2 linked regions of the Bombyx mori genome follow. The protein of the gene in region 2 interacts with the protein of the main gene of each other region in a pairwise test. Links are inferred from orthologs where the notes say so. Each region holds a gene or a part of one and is shown on either strand. Other genes may lie near its edges.

Region 1 (7,373 bases), on a different chromosome or scaffold from region 2:
AGCGCGATGGAGGCTGTTTCACGTTAATATATTTGTTTATATTTTTTTATGCTTTTCTAGCACCATGTCGACTCTAACGAAAATGACCCGTACGGTTAAAAAACTGGAAGTTCCCAGACCTCTGAAATCGACGACCAGTTCTGCTCATAACCGTAATTCTACATTGGACGTCAAAATAAACTCCGGTAAGAATGTAAACTATGTCAAAGCCGTAGTTTACGTACAGCTACTATAAGGGTAAAGTAAACAATAATTAAACTTCCAAGAGTAGATAAATTGTATTGTAGATAAAAAACAGATACAACATAATTATGTAGCGAGGATCATTGTTTACATATTGGATTAGTACATAAGGTTTTTGGTCTTTCTTGGTTGGTAAAAGATCTTCAATAATAATTTGTGTGCTCAATCCCAATGCATAATTAGAATGGTCTAGTTTTTACAAAAAAATCATAATTATTTATCTGGATTAAAAAAACAGAAGTTACAACTTCATTAACCCTTATTTTCAGAAAATTTCAGAAGTAGTTTTCAATTTGCATTATTGCTGTTTGGCTTACCATTATACCAATACATGTAATGTATTTTCCTTTTTAGTTGATGACCTGATAGTACTAGCAGAAGCTGTGGCATACCAAATGATGCAAGGAAATTATGACCGTGCTCTCCAAAGCAATGTTGCCACAATGTACTCGAATCTTAAACTATATGGAGCTCAACTCGAGGTCCTCTACAAAGATTTTCTTGATAGGTATGATTCATTTTTATACTGGATTGCTTAAAACAATCATTAAACTTCATATAAAATATATAATTTAATATTAAAATAAATAATAACATTTAAAAAAATCTGAATTGAAATTTTTTAAATTTGGTTAATAACCACTTAACAAACATTTTTTCATTGAGCAGATACTTTGTTGTGTTCCGCAATGGCTCACAAGATGAGCGCCTTGATAAGAAGACTAGATTGCACCTTCTTGAATTGATCGAGTTGAGAGCTAAGTTGTGGCAAGGTTCCGACTATATGAGTCAATATTATAGGCACCGTGGTACTCATGCTGAGGTAATAATTTATTGTCTGTAGTGTTGTACACAATCTGATAGTATTAAATTAGATAACAGATGGTAAATAACAATATTGATCTTGTCATATTTCCAGCCTTTGCTGGTACCAACAATGGAGGGAACAGGATCAGGTGGGTCTGTGTCGCCTACGCTGGCTGCGCCGGCCGAGCCCCCTGCTATGCTCGGTCCTGGGGAGGTCATCAAACCCTCAGGAAAATTCCCCAAGCCCACCAAAATCCCGGGCAAGAATTACTCCAAAGATGAGGTTGTCATCAGGAATGCTGACTCTGGAAAAGGTATGTTGTTAACAATTAAACATAAAATTTATGTGTTCTAAGATGGCTTTCTTTAGAACACACAATTTTATGAAGGTAATTTTACTATTAGACATGCATGTGGTAATTAGTATCTTTATTTATTATATATAAGCTGATGTTATAACATTGAATATTTTAGTCCAGAGATTTTTTAAGAATGGTCAATTTATTCAGAACCATTTCAGTAGTGCTAAAGAGATTAACATATCAATGAACAAAAAGCAATTTTTCCTGTTATATTAGAATAAATATGCTTTAAAATCCGATTAGACTGAAGTTTGCATGTTAAGAGTGTAATGTTTAATTATGATTGAGTTTTCAGTTAAACCTTTGCATGTTTGATAAAGGTGTTGTAAAATATGTGTTGACTAAAGTGATGTTTAAATATTTTTATCTATGTTTGTTATGTAGACTCAAAATGAATTGTTATGTTGGATTTTTTTAAATGTTAAGGTTAGCAAATCTGATAGGGCCTGCGGCGTATCTTAAGTTGTATTGTGGTGTTCCAGTGATGGGTATTAAGGGCAGGAGGGTGCACATGATCGAGGAGCTAAGTGACACGATCATATCGTTTCAGCGAGGTATGAATGCACGGTGCAGGGACTGTGATGCGCTTGCGCATGGTGTTGCGACCTCCTTCTTCCTTCATATCCTATATCGAAATTTTCCATCACAAGTTTCGTTTACTGTTACCAAAAATATACATGATTCATTCTTTAACAATTACCAAAAATATACAAACTAAATAATCTATTTTATAATCCAAACTAATAAAACTCATCGGTTTTTATTGGTATGATTAAAAACAAGCATATTAATATATCATTGCCTAACAACCGCATCAAGCTTGTGCTTTACTAGAAAAGGTTAGCATTAATGATATTATGAGGGTCACTCCATATTTCAGTGAGTCCGGGAGCCAAGGAGCGACTAGTACAGATCACTGGACCGAATGAGGAAAATGTCAAGTAAGTAACTATACTAAGTTTTATAAACTATCAGACAATAAGTATCATGCTACTTTTAAAAAGTGCAAAATAAAGTTTGGGATGTTTCACATCAGATTTTTGCTGTAAAAAAATAAATTGACTGGTCATGCAGAAGAATTGTAAATGTGTACACAGCATTTGTTATTAGTGAATGGTAACATTGTTTAGTCTTGTGTAATTAATTATAAGCACGCGATTTTTTCCACGCGACTTATCGATAATCTCCTATACCAAATTCACACTGATGTAGTCTTTAAAAAATGATTCATCATTTGTAATGTGAAAAGTGAATCTACATTTGTACTGGGCAAAGCCTCCCCAACCTATGCGATAATTTTTAATAATTTTTCAACATAGGCCTAGATACTTCTTTTTTTATTATTTACATTACATAACAAAAGCTTTAGTAAAATAAATCACTTCTAGAAAAATGAAATAAACAAGAATGTGTAAAATAATTTTGGGAATACTTCAAAACACTAGTGCGTGTTTCGCAGTCACGCTAAACATCTGATTGGCGACACGATCCGTCGCAACGCGTCCCCGGTGCGACTGGAGGGGTCACTAGAGGCGCCCCGCTCCCCCTCCCGCGCCTCGCTGGACTCTGCCGCCTCTGACGAACCGCCGCGTAACCGAGAGGTACTTACTATACATACTTTAATTCGTCTATATAACGTCAGTATAACGAAAACACTCCTGAAGTCGAATCAGTCAGTAATATCGAGATTTCTATACTGGGTGTTAGGAGGCTGCTTCCGAAAACAAAGACAGACGATTTTCCTCCCATCTTCAAATGTGTCAGTACCATCATCTATCTTCGTTTTCGGCAGCAGTCTCCTATCATCCAGCATAATAAGACAAACTATAATTTTGAGGGTTGAAGGCGACATTTTTGCAACTTTACAGGAGAGCCATTGAAAGGATACATTTTGGAAAATAAAATGAAAAAAAATATACCTTCAGCAAAAATATACATTCAAATAATGGAGTAAAATTAATTGAAGTTCAATTAAAAACATCAAACTGTTGATGCTAATACCAAATAAAACGCACTTTTAATTATAAAGATAAGTGTCGCGTATTAAGCGAAATGTCCCTTAAACCAAATAGCCCTTCAACCCCCGTCGATATCATAAGGCTAAGTATAAAAATTAGCCAAGTCCACATTTCGTGAATGTGTATTACGTGAAAGCGAATACAGCGAAATTGATTTTTAATTGCATCAAATGACAAAAATACTCACACTACAATAAAAAACTCAAATGCAACACTTTTTTTTTTATTTATCGAAATTTGAATAAGCTAAATTTGCAATTTTTTTTTGTCGAACATTTCGCATATTTTCCTTGTATCTTAATGACTGTGGTGCTATGTATGTTCTATTTCTTTAATTAATATATGTACTTATTTCTCAGTGGATTTACTAAATTACTGCTAACTTCGGTTTCTGACTTTTATTGTAGATCGATATATAAAATCAGTGATACTACACTGTTGCACATCCACTGTATATTATTTAAAATATTATCTACCGACTGTAATAAAATCTGCTATTAACTGAAGAAGTATAGCAAATGTTTCACTTGCTATTATTATTAGGTTTAAAATAATAAAGTGGGAAATTCGAAAATGCATAATTAATAATCATTTCAAATTCCAGAAATCTCCTCACAACTCGAGAGCTCTGCTTCACAGTTTCTCTACGAATGATGCTGCACTTGGTGAATATAAGTACACTGTGACTTTCGGACAACATTCCATTAAGATCACCGGTAATAACCTGGATCTTGTGAAGGTAAGTTTTACTTCACGGTAATTTCTTATCTATTAAATTTAAAGGTTATCAAGAGAAAGTCGTTAGTTTTGAGAGAACAGGAAGATAAGATAAAGCAATCTGAATATGATAAAATTTTAAATCATTTGTGTTGAAAACTTTTGAATAGTAATGCAGTCACACATCTATTTTTTGTTCATGAATAATAATGAATGAGCACTGTATGGTAGTTTTTACAGAAGAACATTGGGTCTGGGATCAAAACTATAATGCTTCATGTATCAGTGTTAGTTCCAAAATTCGGTGGAGTAAATTTTAACTGACCTTGGCATATATCAATAAAATGAATATAGACCATGTTAAGGGCAGGCATAGTTGTGTACATAATTAAGTATTTCAGAAAATATATCTTGTATTATAAGCTTATTGGGAGTCTGCATGGTTTGGTACCATCATTTTGCATTTGATTTGAGTCTTATTGCAATATAACTAGAATTTTAACCAGTGTGTTTCAAAGTGGTACCGTGCTTGATGTCGCGCTCTCTACGCTCCGTTTCCCATCCAACACAATACCGAGTGTACCGATGTTGGTAAACAATTATCAATCAATTAACCTCGCTCTTTCTGCCAATATGATCTCATGAAAAAACAATATAAAAAGATGGATCTGCAGGCGCCTTACATTTTTTTTTATTGCTTATATGGGTGGACGAGCTCACAGCCCACCTGGTGTTAAGTGGTTATTGGAGCCTATAGACATCTACGACGTAAATGCGCCACCCACCTTGAGATATAAGTTCTAAGGTCTCAGTATAGTTACAACGGCTGCCCCATCTTTCAAACCGAAACGCACTACTGCTTCACGGCAGAAATAGACGGCGTGGTGGTACCTACCCGCACGGACTCACAAGAGGTCCTACCACAAGTAAAATTGCATGTTAGAGGTTAGGAATGTACAGTACACATTGTTGATTTAGACGGCGAAACTCGTGCTGGACGAGTACTTTGAGAGCGCGGGAGCACTGGAGGCCCTCGGCGCCGGCTCCGGGGACTTCTTCACTCTCTCGCAGCGGCCCGGCGCCGCGCTGCTGCTGCGGGACGAAGACGCCGCGCTGCACGACGACGACGTGTTCGTCCCCGCGCCCGCCGCCCTCCCCGCCGACGCAGGTGCCACTCTGACGCTAACTAACAGCTTTATCCTACCGACCGACATAGTCACCGAAAATAAATGAGCTCACAATGATAAACTACTATGATTTAAGAGAAAGCAAACTTGTACAATATCGATGGACTTACTAGAGTGATCTAGTGACGGAGACGATTGTTACTGGTAGAGCGTTTTGGGAGCCTACTTCGAGTAGGTACCAACGCTCGGCCTGCTTCAGTCTTATAGCACTGATGTGTTTGCTGTGATAATACAATTTATTTTAACCTCACATCTCAAAGTGGGTGGCAGTGTTCACGTTGCGTTACCTATACGCTCTATGTAATAGAATTAAAAAAAAAGAAACACTGTAGAAGTCAATTGTTTGCTGACGTGATGACTGGTCAGTATTGGACCTTGTAAAATATTCTCGCAATGTCGGTGAGTAAGTAGGTAATAAGGATCTTATGCAGACATTGATCAGTGATTAAACTCGAGTTGATTATTGATCTGACTCGTTTTGTGGAGTCCTTCGAGTATTTGTGCCTGCACGTGTTTCGTTTGGTGTGTTAATTTAAGGATTTCCGTTCAGAGATTTAAATATAATTTTTATATTGTGAGAATTAGGTGAATATAATTATTGCAGTGCAGTATGCGCACAGTAAATGCAAATACGGAATTAAATAAAGTTAGTGATGCGTGCTTGAAGTGGAATTTGGCATGGCTGGGTAGCGAGCGAGACGAAGTTTATTTTACAGCATGACTTTTTTCAATAATTAAGGAATGTAACTCTACCTGTGTGGCTCTAACTATTCGATAAATGCGGCTCCGTCGTGTCTGTAATGGACACATGACAAATGTACAAAATGGTAGAGGCGAATCACCAGTCACATCTGTTTAATCCTCATATGTTGGTGGTGGTTGTAACCGGTGACCTCGTTTCTTCCATAGTCAATATTACTATACTATACACTCGACAGAATTGTATTATATTCAATATCAATCATGTAACCTCGTTGATAACTTAGAACTGGTAGAGTTTCATTACAGTTTGTAGTAGTGACTCGGAGTGAGGACTGACAGGCATGCATATCTTTCAAAGTATTAATTTAGCTCATGTTAGAATCAGTATCGATGCTATCGAATTAGAATCACGTGTTCATTTATTAAATTTATTGTACGACTGACCGTATTATATCATGTATGTATGTATTTTATTTACTTACACTGAACGTGTATTACGTCACTGTGACCACCACCACCACATCGAACCGAGCGCGGCAGTGTTTTCCAAATTTTTTTGCGACCAGCATTCGTAACAAAACATTTTCGTAACTAAATCATGTGTCACTGCTAAAATATCATTCTATTCAGAAGCGACCGAAGCGAGCTTTATAAATTCTGCGATCCACATCGATTAATATTATATTCAATATTGCAATAATTGTTTTCTTTCAAATTAAAAAAAAATCTAATATTTAAAAAAAAAGACATGCCCGCTGAGTTTCTTGCCAGTTCTCTCAGGATGGAGGCTAGTTTTTGTGAATTGGCTGTAGTTCTTTTTAACGTTCAACAAGTGTGTGTACTTTCATTTATGTTGAATAAAAAAAAAAAATGATTTGATTTGATTTCATTTAACTATGGAGCGTTGCAAGTTTTTATACTACAAACGAGCGACATGCGGGATCGATAAAAAAAATCGCGTCGCGGTCAATAGACGTAGTGAATGGGGTTGGGGTTTGTTTGGCGGAGGTCTGCTTCTGAATAGTTGGGTGAGGGGCGGGTAGTGGTCGCGGTGTCGGCGCGAGTGTACGGACGGTTGTGTGCAGCCGCCGCCGACGGAGACCTCACGCCGCGCCGACCGCGCTTCTCACGCGCCACCAGCACTGACAAGAACCAAGGTAACCTCGCCCCACTGTCCCACCGACACGCCACACTCGCACACACACCCTACCCAATCTGCCCAGAGGGAATGTGAGCACGGGCCACGAAGCGATCGTGCGATTCCGATTATAATAGTATTACAGTTCATTGCAATTGAACTCTGACTTTGATTCGCTTCAACACAGTTCATATCAATA
Region 2 (7,373 bases):
TCTTGTTTACTGGTGGTAGGACCTCTTGTGAGTCCGCACGGGTAGGTTCCACCACCCCGCCTATTTCTGCCGTGAAGCAGTAATGCGTTTCGGTTTGAAGGGTGGGGGGGGGGGGCAGCCGTTGTAACTATTAAGCTTAGAACTTATATCTCAAGGTGGGTGGCGGCCTTTACGTTGTTGATGTCTATGGGCTCCAGTAACCAATAACACCAGGTGGGCCGTGAGCTCGTCCTCCCATCTAAGCCATAAAAAAGGCACATTCTAAATGTATAAAAGTCGGCGTTAGACTGTCGGTAAGTGAAACAGCGAATTAATTACTTTTGGTCATCTGCCCTAGATTATTTATTATATAATCAAAGCGAACATACCAACAAATTATTAATGTTAACATAATAATAGATTGTTATTGTTGTCAATAAAACTCTAAGAATACCCGCTATCGACAAAAAACGTCTGCTATTTCCGAGCAGGCCAGCAATTCCCTTTCACATAAATTGCCCAGCCAATAAGCTTAAGTCCATTTTAATATGTACAATAAAATGCGTTTGTAATGTGTTTACGTCTAGGTTCTAGGCTTTTAACCTAGTCCCGAAACACGTTTTTAAAATATTTTTCTGTTTAAAGGTTTTTTTTTATTGTTTAGATGGGTGGACGAACTCACGGCCCACCAGGTGTTAAGTGGAGCCGGAGCCCATAGACATCTACAACGTAAATGCCGCCACCCTTCTTGAGATAAGAGTTCTAAGTACTCTAAGGTCTCAGTATAGTTACAACGGCTGTCCCACCCTTCAAACCGAAACGCATTACTGCTTCACGGCAGAAATAGGCAGGGTGGTGGTGCCTACCCGTGCGGACTCACAAGAGGTCCTACCACCAGTAACCAGTTTGTCTTTATTTTGTTCGAACACTAGTTACACAGAAACAGAAAATGTCTATGATAAAACTTTTTGGTTAAAACCCTACTGTTACTAAAAAAAACAGCCTCCATTTTCTTATTTCGATACGACGCCTAATCTTAGAAGTATTTCCCTGAAAATAAAACCATTTGAAACCGATCATTTGCGAGATCTGGATCTATGGAGGGAGTTTACATCTCCATTTGTTTGATATCGTATGAACCATGGGGAGTTCACTGAAGGTTTTTTGGAGATAATCCCGTCATCTCCATTCTGTAGGAGTGGAATCCATATTCCAATTCATAGTATTTGGAACAAGTGAGTTCATCCACGGTGCGTGTTGACATTTTTTGGCCACGCAATATCTGACTTATGGGATGAAATTAGTTCCTTGATGTTTCCTGTGCGTTGACTCTTACAGTCTTCTTGTAACGCGATTTGTGAATATTTCTAAGTGATAGACTGCTACTCGGCAGTGCATTTAGCGTCACCGTTGTCCATCACTATCTGTAACCATTAACCAACAACATTACAAAGGTCTAATATATTTTGACTTCTGTATCTATAGCCAATTATTTAAATATTAGCTTTTGCTCCGCTCGCGTGAAGTAGTTACTTTGGCATAACGTTAAATTTTACCCTCACTTCATTTACGTAGAAAGTCAAAATATTTTTGAATTAATAAATAAATAATAATAAATATTTACTAACAATCACGCCACGTTAACTGGTCCCGTGATAAGTTCGTAAAGAACTTGTGTTACAGGTACCAGATAACGGATATAAATGTAAGATTTTTATTATACACATACATATATTTAATATACATCCATAACCCTGGAAAAGACATTTATATTTATCATACAAATATCTTCCCTTGGCGGGATTCGAACCCGCGACCCCCTTGTGTAGTGACCATGTCACTTACCACTACACCAGACGGCCGTTGAATTATAGAATATTAAGGAGCTATTTAAACCCCTATTTTGAAACATTCTTTATTGGTGCTCCACTTGTATTGGCCTTACCGGAATGTTATATAGCCTATAGCCTTCCTCAATAAATGGGCTATCAAACAAACAATTTTTCAAATCGAACCAGTAGTTCCTGAGATTAGCGCGTTCAAACAAACAAACGCTTTAGCTTTATAATATTAGTATAGATTAAACACCATATTTATCACGAGATCCGTCATTGGACACATCAACCACGCTAGGGCATCGTAATGAGTATTCGACGTAATCGCCTGTTTCCTCTTTTCCCTCTGTACATTGCAAAGCGTTGTTTTGTAAAACCGGTCCGAGGTCGACTGTAGAATCGATGAGGCAACGGATATTATGTTTGGAATAAAAACACTTACCTGTTTAAATAGACAACGTTTGGAATTATGAGTTAAAGAAGAAAGAGAGAGAGTGTCAAATTGTTGTTTTTAATGCGACATCGTACATAGTTCATTAACAATGAACTTCAGAAATGTTAGGGTCATACCTATAGCTTCGAGCTTGCATATTTGTGGTTTAATGATGAAATTTTGTGTAATAAATCTAACAAATAATTATATACTGTAATCTATTCTGTAAACAACCGATCATGATGATGGTTAGCTTTTTCATGAATACATAGATTGTCTTTCAACCAGAAAAATGAGTACTGTTCCCAAAAGTCTTAATGGTAGTAGGGCATTTTGTGATCCCGCGGGGGCTGGTACAACCACCCTGCCTATTTCTGCCGTGAAACAGTAATGCGTTTCGGTTCGAAGGTTGGTACAACCGTTGTACTATAAAACTAAGACTTAGAACTCATGTCGCAAGGTGAGTGACGGCATTTGTGTTGGTGATGCATATGGGCTCTTGTAACCACCAAACAACAGGCCATAAGCTCGTCTTCCCATATAAGCATTAAAAAAAGGCATGTAAAAGTAGTATATAATATATGAAGCATTATATTCAGTCAAACTATTTGCGATCCTTCCGGCGTTAATTTTTTTTCCTACCTGTTCTGATAGCCCTGAGAGGCTATTTCAGCTTCTCCTCGACGTGTAGGTGAGCTCACGGGGCTCAAACCGGAGTGTTGCTAACACTGACCCCAGCAAGAGCAGTGCTTCGCCGAATCTACCACTGGATCGGAAACGCGACCCACTGAAAAGATTCGGCGAGAAACTCAGTGGATTGTGTCTATGGGTTAATTTTCTCGTCGAGCCCTTCGTCACTAGCGACGGGTTCGGCGAGGACGGTGACCGGTGCTTTTGCACCGTTAATGGATCGGGAGGATCCGTAATGACGTGTATATGGCGACGTTTAGTCCTATTCACATACATACATTGATGTATCTGACATCAATGCCATTTCAACATCATTATTTTTCATTATTTTTTTTTTTTTTTTTTATTGTATTTTTTTACTTGTTTTTTCGTTTATTTGTAAATATTTTTAAAAATTAAAAAAAAAAAAATTTGAAAATAAAACAAAATAAAAAAGCCCGCTGAGTTTGTTTTGCCTGTTCTTCTCAGGACTGTGGCTTTTTTTCGGAACCGGTGGTAGAGTTACCATTGTTATTTATATTTTGACATTCAACAAGTGTGTTATACTGACATCTAAGTTGAAATAAATGATTTTGAATTTGAAAACAATATAAATTAACGTATTCTCTGCTTTGTTCCAGATTAGGGTTTATATAACTCCAACGACGAAAACGATTCGAGCTTCGTGCTGTAGAAACTCTCAGCCCCTCGAAATATTGTATAGAATCGCTCGGTGACTGCCAGGCATTGACACATCACTGCACTGCTCTTGTATGATAAACGTCTTAGAAATAAAAGATTAAAAAAAAAAAACGAAAAAAATAATATAATACGAACTAACGCCCTCTCGGTGGCCACGAAGAGGGATATTTATTATACTTTATTATTATTATTATTATTATTATATATGCATATATAAATCGGAGAAAAGTGATCTCTAAAGTGACGTCACAATATTAATTGAATTGTGATCTTGTTAATTAGTTAGCCGTGTCGCATTTCGTATTGCCCGTATTTATTGTAGTTAATATTCTTTTATTACGTTGTAAATATCAACAATATTTATATGTTACATGTGACATCGCGTTATACTATAATACTAGTCATCGATCTAGTGTGTGTTTATTGTAAAATCATAATTTAATTGTTACTAAAAGAAATAATTAACGAAAACTTCGGTCGAGTGCACTGAAGGCAAGAAGGGAATTCGTGTTTGAGAGCAAGTTACGTAACTGTCAAGATGCAGACTCAATTAGGATCAGGCAATGATCTGCAGAGGAGCTACAGGATCCAGGACTTCGCCACGCCTGGCGTCATCATGAGGGAGCGGAGCTTCGTACGTCCTCAGTCGCATCACAACATGCATCATCACCAGGTAAACAGACTTAATAGAACTCAGCTTAATAAGTATTTTCTTTGGTTTTCAGCAATCGTAGATATAATTAAAGCTGTTAAGGAACGCCAAATTAAATCGTAAAAATAAGCATAATTGTGTAGTTTAATTGTTTTATTTTGTTCTGAATTTTAGTGGTGGTAGGACCTCTTGTGAGTCTGCGCGGGGAGGTACCACCACCCTGCCTATTTCTGCCGTGAAGCAGTAATGCGTTTCGGTTTGAAGAGTGGGGCAGCCGTTGTAACTATACTTGAGACCTTAGAACTTATATCTCAAGGTGGGTGGCGCATTTACGTCGTAGATGGCTATGGGCTCCGTCCCACCTGGTGTTAAGTAGTTACTGGAGCCCATAGACATCTACAACAAAAATGCGCCATCCATCTTGAGATATAAGTTCTAAGGTCTGAGTATAGTTACAACGGCTCAACTAGGTTCGAGAGAAAAGCTAACAAAACCTTCTACACGTTAATTACTACAACTAATGTTGATACGATTATATACTGTAATAAAACTGCATGTTTTGCCAGGAAAACCTATTGCAATGCCTAATGCTTATAATAGAATAGAGTTATTAATTTTTTTACTTTGTTCTGTGTTCAAACTGGATTTCACCAGTTTCAGTCGCGCCTTGCGCATTTGATTATCGGCAAATATTCTGCTACAACATTCAATGTTTAAAATACAAGTGAGCGGCAATTGAATGCACCAATTATTTTTATGATTAATAAGTTAGACGAGCTGTTTTTCTTCAAATTTAGACTCTTCTCTCCCTGTTCAGAATAATTTTCAACGGCAAAGTCAAGAATTGTATAACAATTTAAATTTCATTAAACATTACTCCAATAATATGTGTTCCTTAAAAATTGTCATTATTTTTTAACTATTACCTTTTAAATTTTAATAAGATATAATTAGATTTATGCGTTCGTTCAATAGTGCGCGAACAAACAAAACAGAAGAGACAGAAAATAATCCAAAAATCGGTCATTAGTTTTTGGTCTATCGCTGTTCTTTAATTAGCCCCTTTGTATTATTTACCATTCTTCATTGTATTTAGCCTAGCATTGTATCTAGCGTAGTCTTTACTCCACGAAACCTGCTTATAGTGTAAGTACTGTCTGTCATACCCGATCCTGTAGACCGAATGGTATTTTTTTTTATTGCTTAGATGGGTGGACGAACTCATAGCCTAGTGTTAAGTGGTTACTGGAGCCCATAGCCATCTACAACGTAAATGCGCCACCCACCTTGAGATATAAGTTCTAAGATATCAGTATAGTTACAACGGCTGCGTCGGCTGCCCCACCCTTCAAACCGAAACGCATTACTGCTTCACGGCAGAAATAAGCAGGGCGGTGGTACCTACCCGCGCGGACTCACAAGAGGTCCTGCCACCAGTATGGTAAACAGTCGACGTCGCCCTAAATACGTCATTACAGATCCTCCCGATCCATTAACGGTGCCAGCGAACCCGTCGCTTGCGACGAAGGGCTCGACGAATGAATTAACCCATAGACACAGCCCACTGAGTTTTTTGCCGGATCTTCTCAGTGGGTCGCGTTTCCGATCCGGTGGTAGATTCTGCGAAGCACTGCTCTTGCTAGGGCCAGTGTTAGCAACACTCCCGGTTTGAGCCCCGTGCGCTCATCTACACGCCAAGGAGAAGCTGAAATAGCCTCTCAAGGCTATCAGCATAGATAGGTAAAAAAAAGTACAGATAACATAAAGCTTTCATTGTGATCCTCATTTTCAACTTAGATCAGCAAAAGTGCTATTGCTGATCGAAGTTGTACAAACACACCCGTTGTTACTGGTTTTCTATATGTATTGATAAAAACATGTATGTTTTACATTGCGCGCTCTTGTTCTCTGAAGTTTTCATTTTCATGGACGATTCTTTCGCAACAGTTAGGCTGTAGCTGAAGTTGAGTAATTAATTCGTTCGAAAATGTTTTTGCTGCAAATCCAAGCGATGCAAAATATGAATACTCAAAACCTATATTGACTTTACAACATACTCTTTGTTGACAAATATCAAATATATATTTGCGTTGGATATGTGGGCGACTACCGCACCCACAACCGAAACACGTAATCTAAGACCTTTTGAATGATTTGCGAAACAGTAAATTTTCAGGTGTGGCTCAATTTTGTAATTTAATCATTGAAAGTTTTTGTTATTTTAATATTTAATTTTACAAAATTAAACGTACACGTTCGAATCAACATCGACTGTATCAAAATGTTTTATGGTTTAATCTCGCTCGTTTATCATTTTTAATTTTATTATTTCCAACGTTGGGTATACTTTAGAATTTTCTTGGTCACATACTATTGGAAGTACATTTTGTCATGTCATCAAAGTCTTAGTGAGAATCGCTGGGTCACGCCGGATGCGGGTGGCAACGAACCAGCCACACTGGACATCAATTGGAAAGGCCTATATTCAACAGTGGACAATGGACAGGCTGAGATGATGATGATAATGCGAAGACTGAAGAACATACGATACAGGTCGCGTAGATTAATCATATAGTATCATCAGGGAACTGCGCATCGGCATTGAAGGCGCTGACATGGTTGTGAGTTCGTCCAAAAGAGTTATGTCCCGTTGTGCGTTGGATATAACTTTTAGTTTTTGTGTATGGCAATCGGATTTTAACTGGATTTATTAGTGACGTTTCCTAATCTAAGGATGTCTGGTATATAGACTATTGACACCTTGGCTGTGACAAATAAAATCATAAACCTTCATCTCGTGCGGCGGAGCGTCGAAATGCGCCCCCGACGATATTTCTATCAGTGCGTAGCAGGTCTTTCTCGAACCACCAGCACTAGGGTATATTAAAATGCTAGAAGTTTTCCGAAAACATACTTTGTACGGATTTATAGTATTTAGTTGTCGGTGTCGAACTCTGAACAAACACCTGAAATAATCGGTCCGCACTAGTGACAGGGACGTGGTTTTTTTTTTATCCCCACCAGCTGAAAGTATCGCGGCGGGCCGATGTGTGTATGTCCAGCAGTGAAGATGTGGTACTTACGAATCGAAAGATGTTACTAC

What was found.
Region 1: the proteins of CBP80/20-dependent translation initiation factor (region 2) and eukaryotic translation initiation factor 4E-binding protein Mextli interact in a two-hybrid assay, tested with the Drosophila melanogaster proteins (2 studies listed by BioGRID). The link is inferred for Bombyx mori from reciprocal best matches to the Drosophila melanogaster genes CG13124 and mxt.

The regions. Positions count from the first base shown.
Region 1 is NC_085110.1:13,301,698-13,309,070, forward strand, and holds part of eukaryotic translation initiation factor 4E-binding protein Mextli, read left to right. Parts: intron 1-60; coding exon 61-185; intron 186-597; coding exon 598-751; intron 752-912; coding exon 913-1,066; intron 1,067-1,162; coding exon 1,163-1,364; intron 1,365-1,894; coding exon 1,895-1,966; intron 1,967-2,292; coding exon 2,293-2,353; intron 2,354-2,871; coding exon 2,872-3,013; intron 3,014-4,034; coding exon 4,035-4,169; intron 4,170-5,125; coding exon 5,126-5,315; intron 5,316-7,121; coding exon 7,122-7,193; intron 7,194-7,373. UniProt on the Drosophila melanogaster protein: Plays a role in promoting translation.
Region 2 is NC_085114.1:13,989,338-13,996,710, forward strand, and holds part of CBP80/20-dependent translation initiation factor, read left to right. Parts: intron 1-3,557; 5' UTR 3,558-4,156; coding exon 4,157-4,291; intron 4,292-7,373.